Lytechinus pictus: one gene and its partners. The protein of the gene in region 2 binds, or shares a complex with, the protein of the main gene of each other region. Links are inferred from orthologs where the notes say so. Each region holds a gene or a part of one and is shown on either strand. Other genes may lie near its edges.

The links. Proteins that work in one complex are often made in the same cells at the same time.
Region 1: THO complex subunit 2-like (region 2) and SAP domain-containing ribonucleoprotein-like share a complex: the UniProt entries of both Homo sapiens proteins name them as parts of the transcription/export (TREX) complex. The link is inferred for Lytechinus pictus from reciprocal best matches to the Homo sapiens genes THOC2 and SARNP.
Region 3: the proteins of THO complex subunit 2-like (region 2) and THO complex subunit 3-like are in contact, whole or in part, in a cryo-EM structure (PDB 7ZNL), measured with the Homo sapiens proteins. The link is inferred for Lytechinus pictus from reciprocal best matches to the Homo sapiens genes THOC2 and THOC3. Residues at the interface, in NP_001075019.1 of Homo sapiens: Tyr395, Arg396, Pro401, Lys402, Gly403, Ala404, Lys405, Gly406, Ser407, Pro446, Ile447, Ala450, Arg454, Cys500, Asn501, Ala502, Cys503, Met504, Glu506, Pro563, Arg566, Gln567, Lys570, His573, Tyr603, Leu604, Thr605; in NP_115737.1 of Homo sapiens: Asp193, Met196, Ile208, Val217, Gln218, Asn221, Ala222, Pro224, Ser225, Ala244, Asp245, Ala246, Leu247, Ser249, Trp251, Asp252, Asp254, Glu255, Leu256, Val257, Cys258, Val259, Cys261, Ser263, Leu265, Asp266, Pro268.

What each region holds. Positions count from the first base shown.
Region 1 is NC_087257.1:27,960,337-27,968,055, forward strand, and holds the start of SAP domain-containing ribonucleoprotein-like, read left to right. Parts: upstream 1-4,639; 5' UTR 4,640-4,715; coding exon 4,716-4,739; intron 4,740-6,548; coding exon 6,549-6,707; intron 6,708-7,719. UniProt on the Homo sapiens protein: Binds both single-stranded and double-stranded DNA with higher affinity for the single-stranded form. Specifically binds to scaffold/matrix attachment region DNA. Also binds single-stranded RNA. Enhances RNA unwinding activity of DDX39A.
Region 2 is NW_026974140.1:1,412,835-1,420,815, forward strand, and holds the start of THO complex subunit 2-like, read right to left. Parts: upstream 3,078-7,981; 5' UTR 2,993-3,077; coding exon 2,928-2,992; intron 1-2,927. UniProt on the Homo sapiens protein: Component of the THO subcomplex of the TREX complex which is thought to couple mRNA transcription, processing and nuclear export, and which specifically associates with spliced mRNA and not with unspliced pre-mRNA.
Region 3 is NC_087256.1:25,213,893-25,221,954, reverse strand, and holds the start of THO complex subunit 3-like, read left to right. Parts: upstream 1-4,982; 5' UTR 4,983-5,009; coding exon 5,010-5,192; intron 5,193-7,764; coding exon 7,765-7,921; intron 7,922-8,062. Other genes in the region: eukaryotic peptide chain release factor subunit 1, read right to left, coding at 601-689. UniProt on the Homo sapiens protein: Component of the THO subcomplex of the TREX complex which is thought to couple mRNA transcription, processing and nuclear export, and which specifically associates with spliced mRNA and not with unspliced pre-mRNA.

The DNA of each region.
Region 1 (7,719 bases), on a different chromosome or scaffold from region 2:
TATTTCCCCCTTTTCTTCTCTTTTTTCTTGTCTTCCTTTCTCCCTTTTCTTCTCTTTTCCCCTATCTTTTCTTTCCCACTTTTCTTCTATTTTTTCCCGTCTTTTCTTTCTCTCTTTTCCTCTCTCTTTTCTCTTTTTCTCCTTTTCCTTCTCCCCTTACTCTCTCCTTTTTTCTTCTCTTTTCCTCTATTCCCCTCTCTCTCTCTTTTCTTATCTTTCTTCCCATCTTCCTCTCTTTTTAAATATTATTCTCTTCCTTCCCCTTTTCTTTCTCCTTTCTTTTCCCTCTTCCGCTTTTTTCTTTTTCCCCCTTTTTTCTTTTTCTTTCCTTTCCCCCTTTTTCTCTTTTAATTTTTTTCTTCTCTCCCTCTCCTTCCCCCTCTCTCTTTTTCTTCTCTTCTTTTCCCCTCTTCCTCTCTCTCTCTCTTTTTCTTATCTTTCTTCTCATCTTCCTCTCTATTTAAATATTCTTCTCTTCCTTCCTCTTTTTTCTTCTTCTTTTTCCTCCTTTTCCTTTCTCCTTTCTTTTCTTCTCTTCCTTTTCCCTCCTCTCTTTTTTTCTCTTCTCTTTCCCCTTTTTCTTCTCCCTTTTCCCGTCTTTTCTGTCTCTCTTTTCCTCTCTCTTTTCTCTTTTTCTTCTCTTCCTTCCTCCCCCTTACTCTCTTTTCTATTCTCTTCTTTTCCCATCTTCCTCTCTCTCTTTTCCCCTCTTCCCCCTCTTTTTTTTGAGCTAGGGGTGAGGCAGTTCCCCCTCGGCCCCCCATGGATCCGCACCTGATAGAACCCCATGGTCTCGTATCATTTGACCTTTGGACCTCTCGATGACATTTGATACATCTGATCATAATTTTACACACACTGCGAACTATCGGACCCGCGGTCTATCGGACCCGCGGTCTATCGGACCCGCGGACTATCGGACCCGCGGTCTATCGGACCCGCGGTCTATCGGGATGTCCCCCTTCATCCATGACATGCAAAAAGTACAAAATTTCACTTCGTGTACTTCCCTTTATTTTGTGGGTACCATTTTAATCCTTTCCCCCAGTGATTAATTGATTACAGTGATTAATTTTATTATGTCACAATAAACCAAATTATGACAGTTTATGCACTCCCAAGAAATAGTGTTTACGGGCCGGCCGGTCTATCGTCTACACACAGACCACACAGACTTCGCACAGTTCGGTCAAGGCGGTACGCGTATCAAACGGTGCCAAATATACGGAAATTGTGAGGAGCGCTTTTCCTATGAAAGGAATTGATATGCATTATTAGGGCTTAAAACTTGACCAAAAAAGGTTATCGCCCCAAATTCGAGAATATGGACCCATGTTTAAGGCCAATATCTAACAAGGCAAAAGCAATTTTGTGTCTCGCCCACTTATGAAAATGACCAGAAATATCGTGATTTGCGAGGGCACGCAAGAGAATTATATCGAAACTTCATTGTGAAATGACTGGGATGGAATAACACTTGTCATAAGAGCCTTGTACATAAACTTTAAGGTTGACCTGCAAATGACCTTTGACCTTACCAGGTGACCTCTGACTGCAGCATAACATGCAGGTCCCCCAAGTCCATCTACCATCCAAGTTTGGTTGAAAATCGACTTACGGTTGTGGAGTTATGTGTCATTAGATTTGTGACGGACGGACGACGGACGACATTTGGATCCCTAAGTCTCGCCTTCACCTCCGGTGGGCGAGACAAAAATTGGGGGCATGAACCCATGTATCTAAAAGCAAGTATCTAAAAATTTGGGCCATGCATGTTTAGGGATTTTCCAGCATAAAACCATACCCCATGTTTAGAGATTTCCCGGAGATTTCTTCCAAAAGAGCGACCCATTTCAGCGGCACATCCCCGTATACCTTATTTCGTAAGTCCCCCCCCCCTCCCCTGGCTCTAATTGTATTCAAAATTTTCTGAACTCTTAAGATATTTGACTTGCACGTAATTAATTTCCTCGTAATTTTTCTCTTATGGCTCGACTGTATTGATCTTTTATTTTCACTTTGCCGATACCATAATAAGACTCGTGAAACGAAAATGTGTAGATTATCTATTATCTAAAAGTCAGATCCGACTTGAAGAGAAGCGATTATCACATAAAGGGTCGTAATCAGTCATGTGTTCATTGGAGTCAGGAAAATAGGGGGTGAGATTTGACGTAAGTGGGAGAAGTAGGTTGATGGGAAAAGGGTCAACAGAACATTTTAGCCCCCCTCCCTCTCTCTCGCCCTCCCCTTCTGTTGAGTGACTGATTTTTATTGTCATGTACGTGTGAAGTCCAGAGCAGAATGTTAATTTAATTAATTAATGATAATTAATTAATGATAATTGGGGCATCAACTTTTCCTATCAATCAACAATTTATCAATAAATCAACTATTTCAGTGGGCAATGTAATCAATCAAACGTTCAGTTTTTCAATAAAGTATTTCATAAATTATAATCAAGTCAATTTCTTGGTAATCATTCAATAAAAAGAAGAAAAAAATGACTATCAGCCACTGGTCACTTCAGTGGCAAATAAGTTTTGAATAGGCTACCATCCAGGAAGTGAGAGGGGTCTGGGAAATTGAGGGGGGGGTGGAGATACATAAGAATTTAATTTGTAAAATGACAAAAAGATGATGAATGCCCTTTCAACCAAGTCTTACCATATCTCGCCCTCTCGCTTGTAACAGGTACCATCACATTACTCCGACTCACAAAACACACTGCTTAGGTCTACAAGATGAATAGGCTACACTAAATTTACAATTCCTGTTCACTCAACCATCATTCTTACAAGATTCAAAAATCATATTTGTTGGGGAAAATCCAGCATAAGTGTTACCTTCCCCTTAAAAATCCCAAACTTAGGATTTTTTTAAAGAAGTCACCATGCAATCAAATTTTGCCTCATTGTGATGTCAACCATACGATAAATAAGACATAAGGAGAAAAATTCGTCCATAATTGACATCGTATACAATTATGTTACCTGGTTATTGATCATTCGTTCTCTGTATATGAGGTTCATGGGTCGAATCGCGAACCAACTAAAGAGAGTTGCAGCTCCGTAATTAGCTTGAAGTAGAAGTTCGCCTTGGTGAGAAACACTCATGAAACTGTTCAGTCTAGGACATACCTTTAATTTTCAAATGAAATTCAATCTCGACAAGCATGCCCCTTCCCCCACTGTCATGCCATCACAATCGCCATAATCATAATCATTGTAATCATCAAAACTAGGATTATTATCATAATTAATCTCAGCACCTTCATCACTGTCATTATCACCGTCATCATCATAAAACATTAATACATTCATCATAAAACATTAATAAATCATCACCGCGGGCGGCGGAGCAGAGGATATATCCTTTGTTCATAGGGTGCATCATTATTATGTTTATAGATTAAAAAACAAAAAAATGTTATTATCGTCATCATTACCACCGCTTTCATCCTCATCCTCCTTATCCTTCTTCATTATCACCAACATCATTATTACCATCACCATTATATCATCCTCGATCATCATTCCGTTTTCACAAACGCTGACTACTTGTAGTAGTTCCGTCATTGGACAATGTGGTTTGGGAGGATTCATTGGGGTCAAGAAAGCACAATTAGAGATTATCAGAGATCGTTGCGTAACTTCAGTTGAAACGGATTCTTCCTATTGTTAGTTGTTAATTGTAATTTTCACACCTTCTTTGTTCGCAACACATGCGAGACGGTGTAGTTAATCGAACCCATTCAAGTCGCTCCGGGGCATTCACTTCAAAGCTTCAAAGGGACTTTAAGAGTTATCTTTCCTAAAACGAAGTAAATCAAGTGCATTGGGGTCTTGAGAATAATTTAAACAAATTCTTGACCACTACGAACTACTCAAAGAACGAATAACAAAGGAGATTAAGAACAGAACATGACTGGGAAATGGGAATGGATGAGGATTTCAATAAGTTGTATGCATAAATACGAATGCTAGTACCCATGAGCATTGGAGGATGCAGGCGGGGGGGGGGGGGCACAGTCGGTCCATGCCCCCTTTTGAGAAGCAAAATAAAAATTTATAATGTAAAAATGCAAGTCAATCTTCATCATTTCATAATTTCAAATCAATACTCGTTTCTTCATCATTTTGAGTTATTTTAAGAAATATACAAGTAATTTGCTCAGCCATTTCATGATATTAAGAGAAGTCATAACAAATATTGAATAATGAACATTGCTTTATCCAAGTTTCCATCCTCATTATTTTGCGTTCCTAATGCCTCGGTCATATTTGCTCTACGGCGGCCGTACGGTGAGTCGGAAACACCTGTTTTATCCATTTTTATTCAGACCACGTGTTTGTAGCTATTACAACAAAAAAATGTTAAAACGGTTGTTTTTGACTCGCCGCACGGCCGTCATAGAACAAAATTAGTGGGTTTTCGCCCAGCGTCGTACGACGTAGAACGTACGTGTGCAAAAATCGCCAACTTTCATGGAAACAGAGGCCCGAGCGTTCTTGAGCTCAAATCACGGACGGTTCTTCCGCAAATTAGCGGGCGTCCGCATTAGAACGTAGGATTTGTCAACAGCCGTCAACAGCCAATCAGATCGCTTGTAGAGCGAGCAAGCTGAGCCGATCGATGTAAACACATTCGCCCATCGCGTGCATGCACATGTTGTACTCTACTCTGACTACACTGATAGCTGAAAGCTTCAAAACATGGACTCGAATGCGATTTTTTCGGTGAGTACCATTTCAATTATACTAAAATCAAGCTAAGTATAATTTCAAAATGTTACAGTAGAAGTTTAAACGAGTATGATTATTGAAATATGATTGAAAAGCCGTTGCATGGCTCGGTCGACGACGCGACTGCAAGACACATGGCACTGCCAGTTGTGTGCACATAGTAGGAACATATACAATGCACATGTTGGCGTGTCAACATTACATGCCAACCATGCCAGCCGGTGGATCCGGCCGCGTTCAGCGATTTGCGAAACTGCTTACAAGCGAGAGTTGAGCGCGACGGACGCACGAACAAAGAGATCGTTCTACGTCGTAGATAGCGTCGTACGACGCTGGGCGAAAACCCACTAATGACCGAGGTAAGGTCAGGGAATGTTGCAGGAGTTCACCCCCCCCCCCCTCCACTTAGATAAAAAAAAAATTGCTTGTAATTTTTTTGTTATGAAAAGACCTAATGGGGGGGGGGGGGGAGTGAAAACCTCTGTCAAATTTTCATTGAACTCGAACTCTACCTTTCAAAAATTCTGCGTAGGCTACTGCAAAAGCTAGAGCTATTGGAGCTATACGTAGCGTAAAGAGAATTTTGTTTCATAGCGGCAAAGCTCTGCCTCAAATACCTTGTATTGTGTATGCTTGCGCGCACATGGTATCTATCAAACTGATATTAAGCGTGCGGGTATACCGCAAGAACGATACTGAGTCGTGACTAAACTTTTCTGAGGACTAATTCGGAGGAATCAAGTACAAGTGACAATGCGGCCGTATTTGTCAGCGCTTTTGGAATTGTTATAGGCACGGTTGTAGTCACATCTTCAGGAGCGAACAGAGCTCTGCAAGCTGATTCAGTGGGTCCAGCGCCTGTAGACGTTGTGCGCGGTCGCCGCGGTTGATCGAACGCTTTGACGGATCGCATTTTACTTCCGCTGGTAGCCAAAACTAAATTTATTTCCCTTTCCATCTTTGTCAGGAATTTACGGGAATTATATACATATTTTTGGAAGCTCACATCATCAGGTACTAATACCTTGGTCACATTTGCTCTAGGGCGGCCGTACGGCGAGTCGAATGCAGCCGTTTTATTCATTTTTATACAAACCACATTATGTAGCTCGTACATAAAATGTTAAAACGGCTGTTATTGACTCGCCGTACGGCCGCCGTATAGCAAATGTGACGAAGGTGTAAGCATGAATAAGCGATTCGCCGGAGCAAAATTTTTGCGTCCAGGTTCTTGTCCCTTTGAATACTTGTCACGCCTTCCAACCAATTAATTACGGCACACATCGTCATTCATTGTACTAGTAGTTGCACCCTCACAACATTTCACGGCAAACAATTGAGATAAGGAACTTCTCTACACGCGCCAATAAATTCCTCTAGGCTTGCCATCCCAATGCCCGGGAACAATAGAAGTGCCAGAACGCGACTGCACGGGCTCGTTATGTCACTCCGCGATGATCGCAAGGGTGCTCTATTGATATGCAAATTCAACCTCATTAACTTCGTGGCGTGCAAGCCCGTGCATGAAAAGTAATGAGGGCGTGCAAACGCGTTTGCACACCCCTCCCGGATATTGACGTCCCGCCTTATGAATGAAGAGAGAAAGATCAATCATGCATTCTCACTGCAAGTTTCATTGAAATTGAACATCAAATAATGAAAGTTATTGTATTTTTAATTTTCTCTTATTTTCACAATACATTTCTTGACATCAAGACATCATTGACTCTCATCTTTGCTTATCCCCTGTGTAAAGCAAAACCTTTGAGTATATTTATTCCTCATTTCTACATGTTTCATTAGGACCTTGATGCTGGAGATATAGGGGAAGAAGAAGAAGCTGTTGTCACAAGAAAAGTAGAATTAGAAATAGAAGAGGAGGAGGAGGTGGAAAGGGAGGTCAAAGCACCTGAAATCAAGAAGGTTATCTCACCTACTGCTAAACCAGTATCAGATGTCGAGGTAAGAGTGATCAAGCAATAGATCGGAGATACACGCATTTGTTAACTATCATGGTTAAAACCTTAGAAGGGGGGGCTAAAACAGAGACGCCAACTAGTACTAATTTTCAGTATCCAGTACTGAACAATGAGAAGAATACTGATGGTTTCATGCAAAATACTGGTTTCTTAAGATTCCGTTTATGAGTTGGCCTACGGTATTTCTTTGAAGCTACTTATTTCCTCACCAAAATACAGATTTTTGTCTCGCCTGCATAGCAGAGCGAGACTATTAATAGGCGCCGCTTTTCCGACGGCGGCGGCAGCGTCAACATCAAATCTTAACCTAAGGTTAAGGTTTTGTAATGACATCATAACTTAAAAAGAATATGGACCTAGTTCATGAAACTTGGCCATAATGATAATCAAGTATTACTGAACATCCTGCCTGAGTTTCAGGTCACATGACCAAGGTCAAAGGTAATTTAGGGTCAATGAACTTAGACCATGTTGGGAGAATTATTTTCAAAATCTTAACCGAAGGTTAAGTTTTTGAAATGACATCATAACTTAGAAAGTATATGGACCTAGTTCATGAAACTTGGGCATAAGGTTAATCAAGTATTAGTGAACATCCTGCTCGAGTTTCAGGTCACGTGACCAAGGTCAAAGGTCATTTAGGGTCAATGAACTTTGGTCAAGTTGGTGGTATTTGTTGAATTACTATCATAACTTTGAAAATTTATGGATCTAGTTCATGAAACTTGGACATAAGGTTAATCAAGTATGAGTGAACATCCTGCCTGAGTTTCAGGTCACATGACCAAGGTCAAAGGTCATTTAGGGTCAATGAACTTTGGCCAAGTTGGGGGTATTTGTTGAATTACCATCATAACTTTTAAAATTTATGGATCTAGTTCATGAAACTTGGACATTAGGTTAATCAAGTACCACTGAATATCCTGTGCGAGTTTCAGGTCACATGACCATAGTCAATGGTCATTTAAGGTCAATGAACTTTGGCCGTGTTGGTG
Region 2 (7,981 bases):
GCTCCGTCAGTAGCACGATCTTTAAAAGTTCACGGCGGGGTCCGCTATCACCACGAGGTTGAAAATAAAATGTAAATCATCATAAACGATGTAAGAGAGTAACGCAATGAGCTCCGTCAATAGTACGACCTTTCAAAGTTCACGGCGGCATCCGCTATCACCACGAGGTTGAAAATAAAATGCATATCATCATAAACGATGTAAGAGAGTAACGCAATAAGCTCCGTCAATAGTACAGTCTTTAAAAGTTTATGGCGGGGTCCGCTATCACCACGAGGTTGAAGAGAAGATTTATATCATTATAAACGATGTAAGAGAGTAACGCAGTGAGCTCCGTCGGTAATACGACCTTTCAAAGTTCACGGCGGCATCCGCTATCACCATGAGTTGGAGGAGAAGATATCTATCCTCTTAAACATCGCCATAGATAATACCGCGTCTTTCTCCCTGAATAATGCGACCTCTAAATAGCTAGCACCTCAAAAACAATCTTGAAATATGTTCTGAGCGATCACGCACTGTAACCAGATCTACGCCGATTTTTTTTTTCGATTTTTTCCTTCAAGGGGCATGATCGAAAATCGGCAAGTGATTGCCGATTGTGGTGAAATCGAATGGAATCGGTTGCCGATTGCAAAATCGGTTACAAGCTTAGGTCAGACCATGATTTGGACAAAGCCCTTTTTTCGTTTGCAAATTTTTGACTGATAATGATACAACAGAAAATTGATCTTTATCGATATTGGAAACAAAAAAATTAGAGCACAGTTTTGGGGAGGACTAAGAATACTGACTTGGACAGGAATACAGCTTGACATAAATAAAAATTCACAATTCAAAACGAAAGAACATTTTTAATGCATTGCAAGAAACTTTCTACTCAATCACACATTCCAAAATTAAGGGTATGTCCTTTCATTAAACACAAACATGTAGTTGATTTGCAATTGAACATAAGTTTCTTGCAATGCCCCATAATTATATTTTGTTCTCAAGCAACTGTGTTATATGTTATCTAATGTGCTGAAGGTTAAGTGCCATATATGTTCACAATTTTTTATTCGAAAGGTATGATATATTTGTCCTTTTAAACGGTATTTGAATGTGGTTACGCCTTGTTTTTGTTTTCCACAGTAATTATTGCATATATGAACAGAAGTGAAATATTTGTTGTGAAGCACTGTATGAATGTTGTGTGATCATGGAGCTATGGTGTGATGGTATTATAATTAATTAATAATTTTTGTTATAAGACTGTAAACCTGTTGGATGTGAGGGAGTGGCCTGGATGAAAGGAAAGTGAGCATGTGTCGAATTACTGATTTGCATATGTTTAGACAATTAGAAGTCCACCCCACCAAAAAATTAATTTGAATTTAAAGAAAAATAAAGTATTGCAGAGAATTTCATAAAAACTATGATTCAAAATTCAAAAAATTACTATTTTGACATTGAGAAATTTGCCTAATTTTATAAAACAATTATATGCTCATCTTGGTCAATGTGCAAATTACAGAACCGATTATGTCACACGCACTCTAATTTCTTGTGTATTTTTTTGTTTGATACATGTACATGACATGTATATTTTATTTTAATTTTCATTAACAAATTTTGAGAGGGATTTTAATTCCTCCATTAACATTCGTAGTTTCCATAAACGTAACCTATTGTGATTCGAGAAAGATTTTTTACATCAAATTTGCTAAAATTTATATAATAAAAATGCAACAAAAATTTAAAAAGTAATTTGATGTGACATAATCAACTCTATTTGCATACCATTGTTTTGTGTATATAACTGTTTTGTGTTAAAACAGGGAAATTTCTGTATTTATTCAAATACTTATGAGTTGATGTGCACTTGACCTTTAACTCACTTCCCTTCCCACCCCTGCCCAAATACTAAATAGGTGTAATCAAGAACTTGAAAATCAAAAGCAGTGATTAAGAAGAAGTAGAAGAAAGTAAAAAGAGAATAAAGCTGGGTAGGAACGATGAAGGAATATGATTTAAAGAAAAAGCATAAACATATCCCCATCAACCCCCCCCCCCCCAAAAAAAAAAAAAAAAAAAAAAAACACAATCCGGCGGGTTCGAACCAGGGTCCTTGCACACGTCAAAACATAGCGCACACGTCAAAACATAGAGCTCACGCAATTCGCCATCGATCTCTTCCGTACTATTTCCAGGATTTTTAAGCTATATATAATGTTGTAAGTCTGTGCGCCGCTGTTGACCAATCAGAACGCGTCGGCAATTCTACTACAATTCCAATCATTTCGCGATGGACATTGCCGTGGTTTTTTGTGGTTCCTGACTTTGCTACATCATGAAATTTCATAATTCTTTTTCAGTCGTAAAGAAGAATGTCTACGCTTTATATTGAATATAATATCAATTTGACGCAAGTGTGATTTCGATGCAAAAATGCGCTGTTTATTCACATATATTTCTTGAAAAAAAATCATTTTTTCTAAGCTAAATATCGGTCTTCAAAATACATTAAATGTGCATTTTATTTAGCTGATCAGAAATTTCAAAGTTTTATCTATAAAATAAGACCAATTATGTGAGGAATAAACGATTCTAAGAGCAAAAAACACCGATCGGAAAGTTCGTCTTCACAGCTCATTACGTATGCATAACCACGGACGGCTATGCATACCGGTACCGCTGAATAAAATAGAGCACTTTCGGACGGGCTGCGGACTGACTGAAAATCCACTACAAAAACACGTTGTCGTTGGTTGTGAATTGTGCGAGGTTCGGTCCTCGCATACAATAGCGTGAGTGGAATTGACCATGATTTGTTGTCGCCAGACTATGCCTGGCATAGTAGATATGAATGGGAGAGCCTATGACTGAGTATAAATGAAAAATTTCGTGTAAAAATAAATTGAAGTCTGATTTAATTGACAACTTACAACTCATTTCTGCCACATTTCTCCCAACTTTTACAGACTTCGTCGTTGATGAGGTAACGCGCCATGTTAAATGTTAAATGTATGGATATCGGATACAAAGCTAAAGCTAGCTAGCTAAGTGTGTATGCGGCTCGTTGAAACTGTCGACCAATAATAGCGACTAGAACAAATATGGAGTATTGCGTCTCCGAAATGATGCAAACAAAAGGGATGCCAGGGAAATTGTATTTCTCCGTGAGGATTAGGATGTAGGATTGTAGGAAAGGATGTGATATAAATTGGGGATAGACGTGAAATAAAGCATGACTTCCTTGACATTATTTAACTCCTCGAATTCTAAAAGTTAATTTTAATTATTATGGATGTATAACTATGAGGAGGCTATGAAGACCATGGGCGGAAATCTGTCCCGAAAGGTAGAGGGGAAAACAGAGGCTGATCCAGCCTTCGCCAATAGGGGGGGGGGGCGAAAAATGTTTTCAGCCAAATGTTAATCCCCGATCGGCCGCTTGAAGGTAATTTTTGTCTGTTTCATTGAAGGAGTAGTCCTCGATGGTCACTTTTTAGCTTTATTCTTATAAATCAACATAGATATATAATATCATTGTCCTTATTTTTATAATGCGAGCGCGAAGCGCGAGCATAATTTTTTTGGGCAAATTTATGTATTTTTTCCTAAAACTTGAACATTCTGGGCAATGTTTGTTATCCTGAAAAAGATGTATATGCAAGTAAATATTTACTACGAACGCAAAGTGCGAGCAGAGGTTAACTGGTGGAAAAGGTACATGAAAGACTGCTTGCAGTTCATATCGAAAACTTGCATAGTGTACCGGACATGTGAAAACATAGCAGACGACGTTTGCAGACCTCGCGATCATCGTATGACTAGTGGTGCAGAATGTTCCATTGCGGCTTTATGGGGGAAATATATAGCATTACAGAGGGATAAAATGTATACACAAATAATGTTTCAGCGTAATTTGTTGTGTCAATTTCATAAATTATTGTTGTTTGAAGATTTAAAACGTCATTATAAAGTGACAGGAATAAACAAAACTTATTTTTTAGACTTACCTATGCAGTGGTAAGCTAGGATATATTTATATCCATAGTTTGGACTGACAAGGTATATATATTTATATATTCCTAATAAAATGTTCAGCACTGCAATGGAAAGAGCTAGAAAACCGCTGTGACTCGAACAACACACCGACGTACAAAAAATCTCTGTCCAGCCCTATATGTTGAATGCACGTCGAGCAGTGGCGTAACTACGGGGGGCATGGGGGGCACGTGCCCCCCAATCGGCTGGCCCCCCCCAAAAAAAAAAAAAAAAAAAAACGGGGAAAAAGAGAAAAAGAGGGAGAAACTGAGAGCAACGTAGTGGGAAGGAAGAAATTATTGTTAATTATGTTATATTATATTATAATTATGTCATGTTATATTAAATAGAAATGAAAAAAATATCATAACTTTATGAAACATAATTTGCTCAGGGCCTATGTCTTCATTGTCCCTGATGCTCGCATCGTCTGTTTAACGAGATATATAATCCTGTTGTACTAAAACCTCCCGTTTTCAAGTCAATTCACCAAATATATTTCCTCGCACTTCGAATTATAATTGTTTTATGTAGTGACATATCATTTTAAGGTCTTAATATAAAACATTTCCCGTCCGTGCTCATGTTCGCATTAGTGGATTAGTGAGATATGTCTGCTCTTCATGAATTCCTAAAATCAGTCCTTAAAATTTCCCTTTTTCTGATCTGAATATCAAAAATTTCAGCTTGCGCTCGCTTCATTTGGTTAGTGAAATACGCATGGTCTACGTGAATTCCTACAAACAAGCCTTAGAATGCCCCTCTTCAGGTGTGAATTTCCTAATTTTTCAGCTCGCGCTTCGCGCTCGCAATATTTGACTAGTGAGATGCGTATGATAATCATGACTACAAAAAGTATGTCTTTAGGTGTAATTCTAACAAAATCATGCAGCATGCGCTTGGCACCCGCATTAGAAGACTATGGTGAGATATATGTACTCTTAATGGATTCTTTTTAAAAATAGACCTTAAAATATCCATGTTTGGGGTCAATATATAAAAAAATTCAGCTCGCGCTTCGCGCTCGCTTCATTTGGTTAGTGAAATACGTATGGTCTTCGTGAATTCCTACAAACAAGCCTTAAAATGACCCTCTTCAGGTCTGAATTTCCTAAATTTTCAGCTCGCGCTCGCAATATTTGATTAGTGAGATGCGCATGTTAGTCATGATTACAATGACTACAAGTGATTTATGTGTTTGGATGCATAAAATTCTAACAAAATCAGCAAGTGCTTGGCACTCGCATTAGATTACTATATGGTGAGATATGTATACTCTTAATAGATTCCTAAAATATAGTCCCTAAAATGTCCGTTTGGGGTCAATGTATAAAAATTTCAGTTCGCGCTTCGCGCTCGCATTGTTTGTTTAGCGAGACAGGTACATATCATGATTACAAAAATTTGCTTATAATGTCCCTTTTTAGGTCTGAATATCAAAAATTTTCAGCTCGCGCTTCGCGCTCGCATTATGTGACCAGTGACATACATATCTGTTTAATGACACTGTCCTTTAAATGTCTCTATTAGGTCAGCATACCTAGCAACTGAGCGCGCTTCGCGCACTCACTAAGTGACTCAATATTTTTGCTAGTGCCCCCCCCAATGCCATGACCCACGGTACGCCACTGACGTCGAGTGTAGGTTTGCTCTTCGGACATCACTATCACAAAGAAAATCTCCTCTGATTTGATGATAAAAGTGCTCTATTTCCTTATTAACCAATCTCCATGGTTCTTTCATGAGTATTTGCCTTACAATGTGCCCTTTATTATAATCTGGGCGGAAATTCTTGATATCATCACCCACCGATGTGACGACGGATGTAATCCACCCGGGTACTATAAAAATGTCCCCCTAACCCATTATCCCAATACATATTCCTGACTATGGATGGTTTTGAGTGATTTTAATGTAATAAAGTGCCATATTTCCCACCAACTGAATGTAAACAAATTATGGTCATCTGATAGAAGAAGTTGTTAACATTCATTTCAGGGGGGCGGAAATTCTATCTGAATCAAAGCTTGTCCTTGATACACATTTGTTTGTGAAAAAAGGGTATGATGCAAGGGAATTCTGCGTGTTATAAGGGTGCGCGCGTGCAGCGAGGACCTTCTGTCCGCTAGTTTTCCATATGGCCATGAAGACGTTACATATTTCAACAATCAAAATAATGCGAGCGCGAGCTGAATTTTTTAAAAAAATTTACCCAAAGACTGGAAATTCTAAGCACTTTTTGTAACTTAAACATATAATAGGTATATAACTAAACAATTGATGCGAACGCGAAGCGCGAGCGGAAAATTTTGAGATTTAGACCTAAGAACGAGAGCTCTATTCATGTTTTGTAAATCATGAAAAGGATGAGTAATTGGGGGTCTTCCTTACACCCGGTCCTTAATGCGAGTGCGAAATGAAGCCAGAAAACGTTCATATAGTTTACGTTTAATTTGAATCGATCGAAAAGGTACTTGTTAAGGACTGCTTGCACTTACCCATGAAGACGTTACATATTTCAACAATCAATATATGCTAGCACGCACGAATCGCGAGCCAAAAAGAATCGAAATTTTTAATCAATTTTTGTAATCGTGAACAGGGTAGCTATATAAGTATAACTAAACAATTGATGCTTGAGCAGAAGAATTCAAGATTGAGACCTAAAAACGGGACACTCTATACTCATGTTTTGTAAATCATGAAAAGGATGAGTAATTGGGGGTCTTCCTTACACCCGGTCCTTACATTAATAATGCGAGTGCGAAATGAAGCCAGAAAACGTTCATATAGTTTACGTTTAATTTGAATCGATCGAAAAGGTACTTGTTAAGGACTGCTTGCACTTACCCATGAAGACGTTACATATTTCAACAATCAATATATGCTAGCACGCACGAATCGCGAGCCAAAAAGAATCGAAATTTTTAATCAATTTTTGTAATCGTGAACAGGGTAGCTATATAAGTATAACTAAACAATTGATGCTTGAGCAGAAGAATTCAAGATTGAGACCTAAAAACGGGACACTCTATACTCATGTTTTGTAAATCATGAAAAGGATGAGTAATTGGGGGTCTTCCTTACACCCGGTCCTTACATTAATAATGCGAGTGCGAAATGAAGCCAGAAAACGTTCATATAGTTTACGTTTAATTTGAATCGATCGAAAAGGTACTTGTTAAGGACTGCTTGCACTTACCCATGAAGACGTTACATATTTCAACAATCAATATATGCTAGCACGCACGAATCGCGAGCCAAAAAGAATCGAAATTTTTAATCAATTTTTGTAATCGTGAACAGGGTAGCTATATAAGTATAACTAAACAATTGATGCTTGAGCAGAAGAATTCAAGATTGAGACCTAAAAACGGGACACTCTATACTCATGTTTTGTAAATCATGAAAAGGGTGAGTAATAGGGGATCTTTCTACATTAATAATGCGAGCAGAAAATTTTTGATATTGTGATCTGAAAATAGACCGCGGGTCCGATAGACTTTTTTTTTTTGTAATAATATTTATTAATCATTCAGTTCAAAGTAATGGTACATTGTAAAATATTACAAATCAATATTAACAAAACACTGTTCACGAAAGACAAATAATTATCCATAATACAAATAATCGTACATGTCATGGTATTGTGGCGTAACCGAGCTCTGTCGGGGTAGCGTTCTGCCGTCTCGCAGTCTCCAGAACCCGGTCCACGCTTCTCCCCCGCTTCTCCTCACTTATATACCGTATGGGTACTAGTATTCAACCTGGCATAATTCAAAGATTTCGACATATTCCCCAAAATTTTTAGAAATAGGGAATTTATCTTAATTTCACACCTTTGTTATTTCCAGGGTAATCTGTTGTCGATATTTTCTTTGTCAATCTGTCGACTGTATGCGCGGAGGATCGAATTATGCGGCGAGCGCGTTTCCGTTTTACACCCTGG
Region 3 (8,062 bases), on a different chromosome or scaffold from region 2:
ATCACTTGTTCACTGCAACCACCCTGCCTGTGGGGAATCTACAGGTTGGACTATGGCATGCCAATGCTGTACAGAGCACACACTTTAAAAAATGATTAAAATATCACTTTTGTGACCAAAATTACTAATTTCCGTACAGTTGCAATTTATTTTTCATTAGTAACTTGGGAATAATTTTTGTATTCACTAGAGCACTCAAAAACTTGAATTTTGGGCATATTTTTGTGTACGCCCTCTATTGGTGGAAAATAATTATAATATGGCAAGAAAATTTTCATTTTTTATCACTATTTCTAATTAAGAAAAAAATAATTTAAAGAATCAAATTTACTTAAGGGCCAAGTTGTATGACGAATAGGTGTAATGGAAACTGTCAGTGTAATTTGTAAAAAAATCAAGCATTTGTCCCCAAGAAAAAGAGAAAATAAGCCAAACATTGCCATCCTTATTTTGCCACACATGGAGATATATTTTAACTGAGAACAAGGTTATAATATATCACAACCTTGTTCATTGAATGAGCATGATGAGTGCCAATTCATAAGACAATAACAGTTCATGACCCTACCATTCATTGCCTACTCAATAATGAGAACATACCCTCTTGCTGCCTGTAAACTTTTGATCAGTTTCTTGATTTTCCATATTTCGACATTCCTGTCAGCTGCAGTTTCCTCCTGTGCAGACATCTTTCTCTTATTCTGTTCCTACTCCTTGTCTCTCTTTCTCCAATCAACACTCTTGTTCACCAATAATTAGTTCCACTAACAATAACAAGACTAAAGTGTTGATTTATATTATCAGATTTGGCAAGGTTGTTGCCTAGCTTTGAGTGTGCTTATTTATTTGCACACGTTTGGCCTTCTGCAGATCTATTCAATGCAATTCCAATGCCGGTTGGTTGCAACAAATGAATGAAACTCAATCAATGGCCCCAACACGCTGTATCGACAACAGCGTGTGGCTCGTCTTGAACTGTATATTTGAAGTTTAACAGTACAAAATTCCACGATCAAACCTATTCAGGATCTTGGTCGATTAACTTCAAATCAGTTCTGTTCCAAAATGATTTGCATCGAAAATCAAGAATATGAAACAATCGCCTTTCACAATATGTTGGACACAGCACGTCTTGATATTTCGCCCATGTGATGAAAGTTCGCGATTTCCAAATAAATGCAATATGTATACGACTCAACCGGAAGTACGTATAGGTCACAACGATAACTTACGAGGGACTTACCGGGGACATAAATCATTCTGAAACTAATATTCGTTCTTATTTTCCATATAAAAATCATAGTAAAAAGAAAGAGATTATTGAAATACGATGTCATTAAAATAAACGTGATTTTATAAGTTAAACAATGTGAATTAATCAACACAATATATCTCTCGTAGAAAGAAACCCCATACAATTTAATGGATTCGTCCATTGCCCTCTATTTCACCTTTCTTTCATCGTAATGGTACATGGTACCGTGATAACTGATATAATATATTTTTTGGCCAGGAGAGATCCATCAATGCTGATATATGCTAGAATAACTCACTTGCTTTCAATTAAAGATACTGACTATCCTAGCTCTCATCTCCCATTCCCTTTTAAGATATTTCTTTTAATTCATGATTTCTTTCTCAAATCGCAAGTATTTTTTTCCTGATTGAGCAGCCTCGATCTGGTGAGATGGTAGGTCAGCAGTGATCTATTTTAGTGGTAGAGACGTCATCTTCTAATCCAACTTTTCGGAAGCGCGCGCTCAGTCGCGCTCGACCGCTTTATAGAGAATGGTTGAAGACTTGACAGACTTGAGGTTAATAAAAATTGTTGGAGGTCTAGGGGCATATTGTAAAGGCCTATATATTCAAATTTAGATCAGCACAATTCAGCGCTAAACATTTTCAGAAGGCCCGGTCAAAAAGGTTTAGAAAGGGCCAGGAAATGGTTTTCTAAATAAATTAGGAAAAAGTTTTGAAAACATAAAGTCGCCGCGGTAGGCTAATGTTCTATTGAAAAAAAAAAACAGAAATCTAGTTGGAACTTTTAAGTTTTAACCCATGGGTTAAAACTATCGAGGTTTCATGATAAATTGCTATTATCATGAAACCTCGATTATATGGCCATTGTGCCCGGCGTTTATATGCTCCTTTGCAAGTATCCTTTTTTGTCTCTCGATCATAATTATATTCTCAAACCCTCAAACATACTTTTTAATATCATTTACATAGAAAAAATGAGTCATTTGTATTTGATTTTTGTTATAAATTCATATAATTCACATCAATAAAATAAACTCTTTATTAAACTTTTTTGGCTGCACGGATTTCTTTTTTTTTTTTAAGGCATTGTTTTTATCAGAGACCAAAAGTCTTACCCCAACAACAATTTGAATTGAATATATAAACAGGAGGGATAAAAATGAAACAAGCAAAATATTGAAAATTCCATTAAATCGGAAGAATTTTATTCAGCCGAGTGAAGAGAATTTATTGAAAGTATGAATATCATGTGTGTTTGTTATAAAACGGTATACTTTGGGGACAGAGGGGCCTGTACGTATATATGATAAAAAGCTTTTTTTAAGGATTTGGATATTTAAAATGGAATTTGAATAACATCGGGGAGACTTACTTTACCTCTTTCTACGTTTCTCCAGTTTTAGACCGTCCAATTTCATATAGGAGTCATTTGGATTTATTTATGTGCATTTAAATTCACACGTAAACGTTTTCCCGAAGAGCAGACAATGGGATTCATTTAAAGACACTAGAATTCATTTATAATCATTAAAAAAGCTATGGTCAATACAATTTCAAATTTGATCATTTCAAAATGTGTCATCAGTGATTTAGATTTCGTTCTAAGGCAAAGAGGTTCGCTAATGGTCTTACAAATTAACGAATGTACTTCTTAATTTTGGGCAATGTCGGAAATTCAGAAATTGCGCAATCAATAAATAAAAAATGACCGATACCTTGAGCAACCAATTTCATTTTTGAGAGTTCAAATTAATGATGCGCAAATCGTTTGTTTTGCATGGCATCTGTATGCTCATAATATGTGTCTAATATTAATGTATAAACATGTGTTTATAATACAATCAGAATTGTTTGAATTGTGGCTATTTGTTTAGCCCAAATTTGAATTTCCACAATATCCTTAGTTTTCATCATAAAAACAATTTATATTGCATCTTTTGCAACTTTTGCGTTTCCTTTACAAAGGTGTTAAGGGCTATTCTATATATTCTTCCTTTTCACCCGACAATGCTGACTGTGTGGGCATTTCCATTGATATTTACTTTCTTCTTTTTTGTTCTTTTCAAGTTTATTACAAGTCCCAAGGGCGGATCCAAGATCTTCCAAGGGGGGGGGGGCATTTTGTACAGAAAAAAAATGAGAACCTGAAAAAAAAACTACAAAATCGAGTTTGTGCAATTAAGGAAAAATTTGACAAGTAAAAAATGGGTCCCCAAATTGCCTATGCATGACACATTCCAGCAAAAAAAAAAACCTAATATTTTGTGCCTCTCAAAAGTGGATCCACCGCTGACGTGTCCCTGTATGATAATACTTTCAACTCTAGTCAATTTCATGGGTGATCATCTGTATGTCAAATTGTCAAGCATGACGGATTTGGAAGGGAATTGGAAGGGGCCTATATGGCTCCATTCCATCAATCCGCGGTGCCTTTATTCTAGGAAAACATTATTATTCTATAAAGTACATTTTATAACAGGAAAAGTAGACCTATGAATGCCCATTCCTTTAATTGCATGCTATTAATAAAAATGCACCAATTCGGGTGATACACTTACTAGAAGAAGAATATTTTGCAGAGATAATGAACCAAAAGTGCGGGAAAATGGTTATCCTTGCGAATTCGTTAAACATATTATGCTGCTTATCTAAATTCTCAGTAGTGACTTGTTTGATAGTTATTTTAAGCGGAAAATACATTCAAGTGACAAGTAATGAAATACATTGACAAATAACCGAGGTGATCATGGCTAACGCAAAATTAAATTAAATTAAATTACATTATTTAGATGAAATTGAGCGGGAAAACCTATCATTCATCTACCGTCCTCTCTCTTAGGTTTATTATAGGCCTAGTCTTCCTATCTGACCATGCATGCATTTCTGTACCCTTCTTTGTTTTTGTTTATATAAAAAAATATAGGCCCTATATAACAATGATGATGATGATGACAGTGATGAGAGTGCTGATTGTGATAATTATCGTCATCATCATCATCATCCTCATCATCCTCCTCCTCATCATCATCATATCATCATCATCATCATCATCATATCATTATCATACTTACTTCTGGATACTTATGGAACAACTGAACGAAGTCATTATGACTCTGCATTCAGTTTCAAATTCCTTCTCCTCTTTAGGTTGGCCGGATCATGTCCTGGTGGGTCAGTGTCAAACTTGAACTTCACTGGTTCACATCTTGTCCAGTCCATTCTCAAAGACACTATGGGGGCATAACTAATTCATTACTGAGACTATTCCATGGTTTTCTCATTCTAATGTAAAAAGATTTCTTTTCTTTTTTCAGTGACTGATCTTAATGAGATAAACAATTATTTTATCATGACCTCGATAGTCCCATGCAACTGACCCAGATCTGGCACTACTCCTGCATGGAACTTGTAAGTTTCAATCATATCCCCTCGCGCACGGCGGTATGTCAAAGTAGGGAATTTAGTTCAGGATCAACCTTTGTTCGTATGGAAGTTGTTTGTTTTTTGGTTTTTTTAACCTCATAATCCAATTTAGTGGCCCTTCTTTGTACATTTTCTAGTGCATGAATATGTTTCTTCAAGTAGGACTCAATACGGCATGTGCATACTCTAAATGTGGTCTAATCATCACCGGGCATCATCACCATCATCATCATCATCATCATTATCATCAATGACGAGAAATAATGGGTCTACGATACATTCACCTTTTCAATAGGAATCCCCAAATTAGCGTACCATACATCAAGATGGCAGCTTCCACAGAAAACATGATTAAAAAACATTTCGAGAAGAATTGTCGAACAAAAGAACATAATGGGGTTCACTCATCGAAAGTTCACTCTGTAGCATGGAATTGTGATGGCACTATGCTTGCATCCGGATCGTTTGATAGAAATGTTTGTGTCTTTTCGCTGGATAGAGATAGGATGGTGAGTTATGTCTGAATATGACTGACTGCCGATGCCGCGCCGTGTCGCGTCGCTGCACTCTTAATCTTATCTCGCTAACCCAGGCCCAGGGAGCACCGGCCCGCTTGGCCGATTACACGAAAGGGTCTTGCAGGACCAAGCCCAAGGACCGTCTTTCGTGTCGCCCATCTTTTATTATTCGCTATATGCGGGATATTTCTGAAATGTATGATAAACAAATAAAATTTGTTAGCTAGAATTAAAATCAATTTGTATACAATTCAATTCATGATTTTCGATTCTCGTGTGTTCTCAAAGTCATGGCTCATGCCATGGAATTTTTTTGCTGTCTACGATACCCCTGCCCACCTAGCCAGGCGGCTTCTACTATAGTACTAGTTCTAGAGAGTAAAAATCATTTACTAACGTAAGGTTACTCTCATACGAAGCCAGGCCTTCTATCTCATAGACCCACACAAAGGAAGCCAAAACCTGAAACTTTCACCTCCGAGATTTCTACTTTCCTTCTAAAAGATCTAGCTCTAAATCATGTACATGGGATAAAACTTCATTTCCGACATTTCTACGTTCTCGTTGTTATTTTTAAAACAAGAATTCATCAAAAAAATGAAAAAATATTGTGAAAAGACGGAAGAGACTTGCCCGATGTTTACGCCGCCATCTTGTTTCTTATTGTACTTCCCCAACGTTACGGAGGAAGAAGATGATGATTTGTTTTGATCTCCGACATAATCGGAGGAAGGAAAAGAAGATAATGACGTTGCAGCGCGCGACACTATCCGAAGTTGTTTCTGATGATATTCACTTTCTCTACAAGTTACATCGTAGTGATGGCGGAGGTAATCGTAAACCCTTAGAGGACGCATGACTTACCGAAATAGACGCACTATTATCCTAAATTGTTTACGATGATATTCTTCTTGTCTTGTCTTGTCTTTCCGTTAATGCCCACAATCATTACAATGATTATTATGGCATATGAACGTCAAGATTGACTTGACCTTCACCTTCTCTACAACATCATAGTGATGGCAGAGGTGATCGTAAAACTCTTAGAGGACGCATGACCTACCGAAATAGACGCACTACAATCTGAAGTTGTTTCCGATGATATTGACCTTCTCTACGACATCGTGGTGATGGCGGAGGCAATCGTGAACTCTTAGAGGACGCATGACCTACCGAAAAAGACGCACTATTATCCAAAGTTGTTTACGATGATATTCACCTTCTCCCCAACATCGTAGTGTTGGCGGAGGTAATCGTAAACTCTTAGAGGTCGCATGACTCACCGAAATAGACGCACTACTATTCGAGGTTGTTTACGATGATATTCACCTTCTCTACAACATCGTGGTGATGGCGGAGTCCGTCGTGAACTTTTAGAGATCGCATTACTTACCGAAAAAGACGCACTATATGGATGAAGGTCTATCTAAACACAGAATCCTGACATTGAGGCACAAACTTGACCCTCAAAAAAAGGAAAAGTTACATCTAACTTTAGATCTAGATCCTCTTTGTTGCGTTTTTATCTCTCGCTTTCAAAATTGAAAACAAAATGGCCGATTGATACCGTGAACGAACGCGAGAACTAATGGTCATACATGTATTAGGCACAATTGAATAAGACATTTTAGGAATTAAAAAAATGAATAAAATAGATTAAAAAAGGATTAAAATTTGTTTGAGACAATTTGATTGCTCAAGTTATAACTGATATCAGCATCAATAATAAACTGTCAAACCGTATGTCAAAATTATCTAGTTTGCTTTAGTTTAGTTAGAGTTAATGTGGAAGTAGAAGAAGTGGAATTCTTTTTTTTTAGACCCTACTTGTCTCTTCGGGACAAGTCTGACTCTGAGACCCGACCAAGTTCTTTGCCATTTTCAGTTATTTGACATTGATATCCATGATAGCAGATGTTTAGCATTTAAATAAATTCAAGGCGCAAATCAAAGTTTTCTGCTATTTTCACAATTTCGAAGTTTTGTATTTTTTGATATTTTTGCCAATTGCCTGCACATGGATCTAATGGCATGCATTTGCCATATTGCTAAGTTTTTTCCTAAGCAGAGGTGCAGCATGCGATCAGCAACAGCAACAATATTGAGGGGAAAAAAATTGATAGAGCAGGGCCTTGATTAATAGCTTGAAGCTAGAAGTTCCTAAAGTAAGTCAAAGTAGTACATCCCTTATGATCCCTGTAATTCAAGATACATGTGAACTTGCAAGTTGTATAAAGTAGACCTTTCTTTAAGTTGAATATTCACCCAACTTGAAGCACTTTTTAGACCGGATTATGCAAAACATGTACTCGTATTCCTCGTTTAAGTCTAGATTGTGGGAAAGGTACTGGTACATGGGCCATCTTTATTGCAGATTATTTGTTGAATAATTCTGAGAAAGACCCATGGTCAATGCACCCATTCAAGGCAAGTGAGGGAAGGAATGCTTGCCAGGAATATTGCATTCAATGGAAACAAAATCAAATCTTTCTTCATGTTCAACTACAGATGATTCTTGTAGACAGCACATAGTTTTCTTGTTATGAATTTTTCTTCACCGTAGACCAGAGAAGCAACGTACAAGGGTCATGTCGGCAGTGTGGATCAGTTGTGCTGGCATCCCAGAAATCCAGATGTGTTTGTGACCGCATCGGGAGACAAGACGATCAGGATATGGGATACCAGGTCTGCCAAGTCTATATCAACTATAGCTACAAAGGGTATGCTCAACTATTTTTGATTTAATTTTAGCTATTTCATTCTTTTTTTTACACTGACCCAAAGGAAACCAATATGTTTGGTCTTTTAATCATGTTTGAATAATAATAATAATATAGGTATATTTACCCAGGGAAGCCACC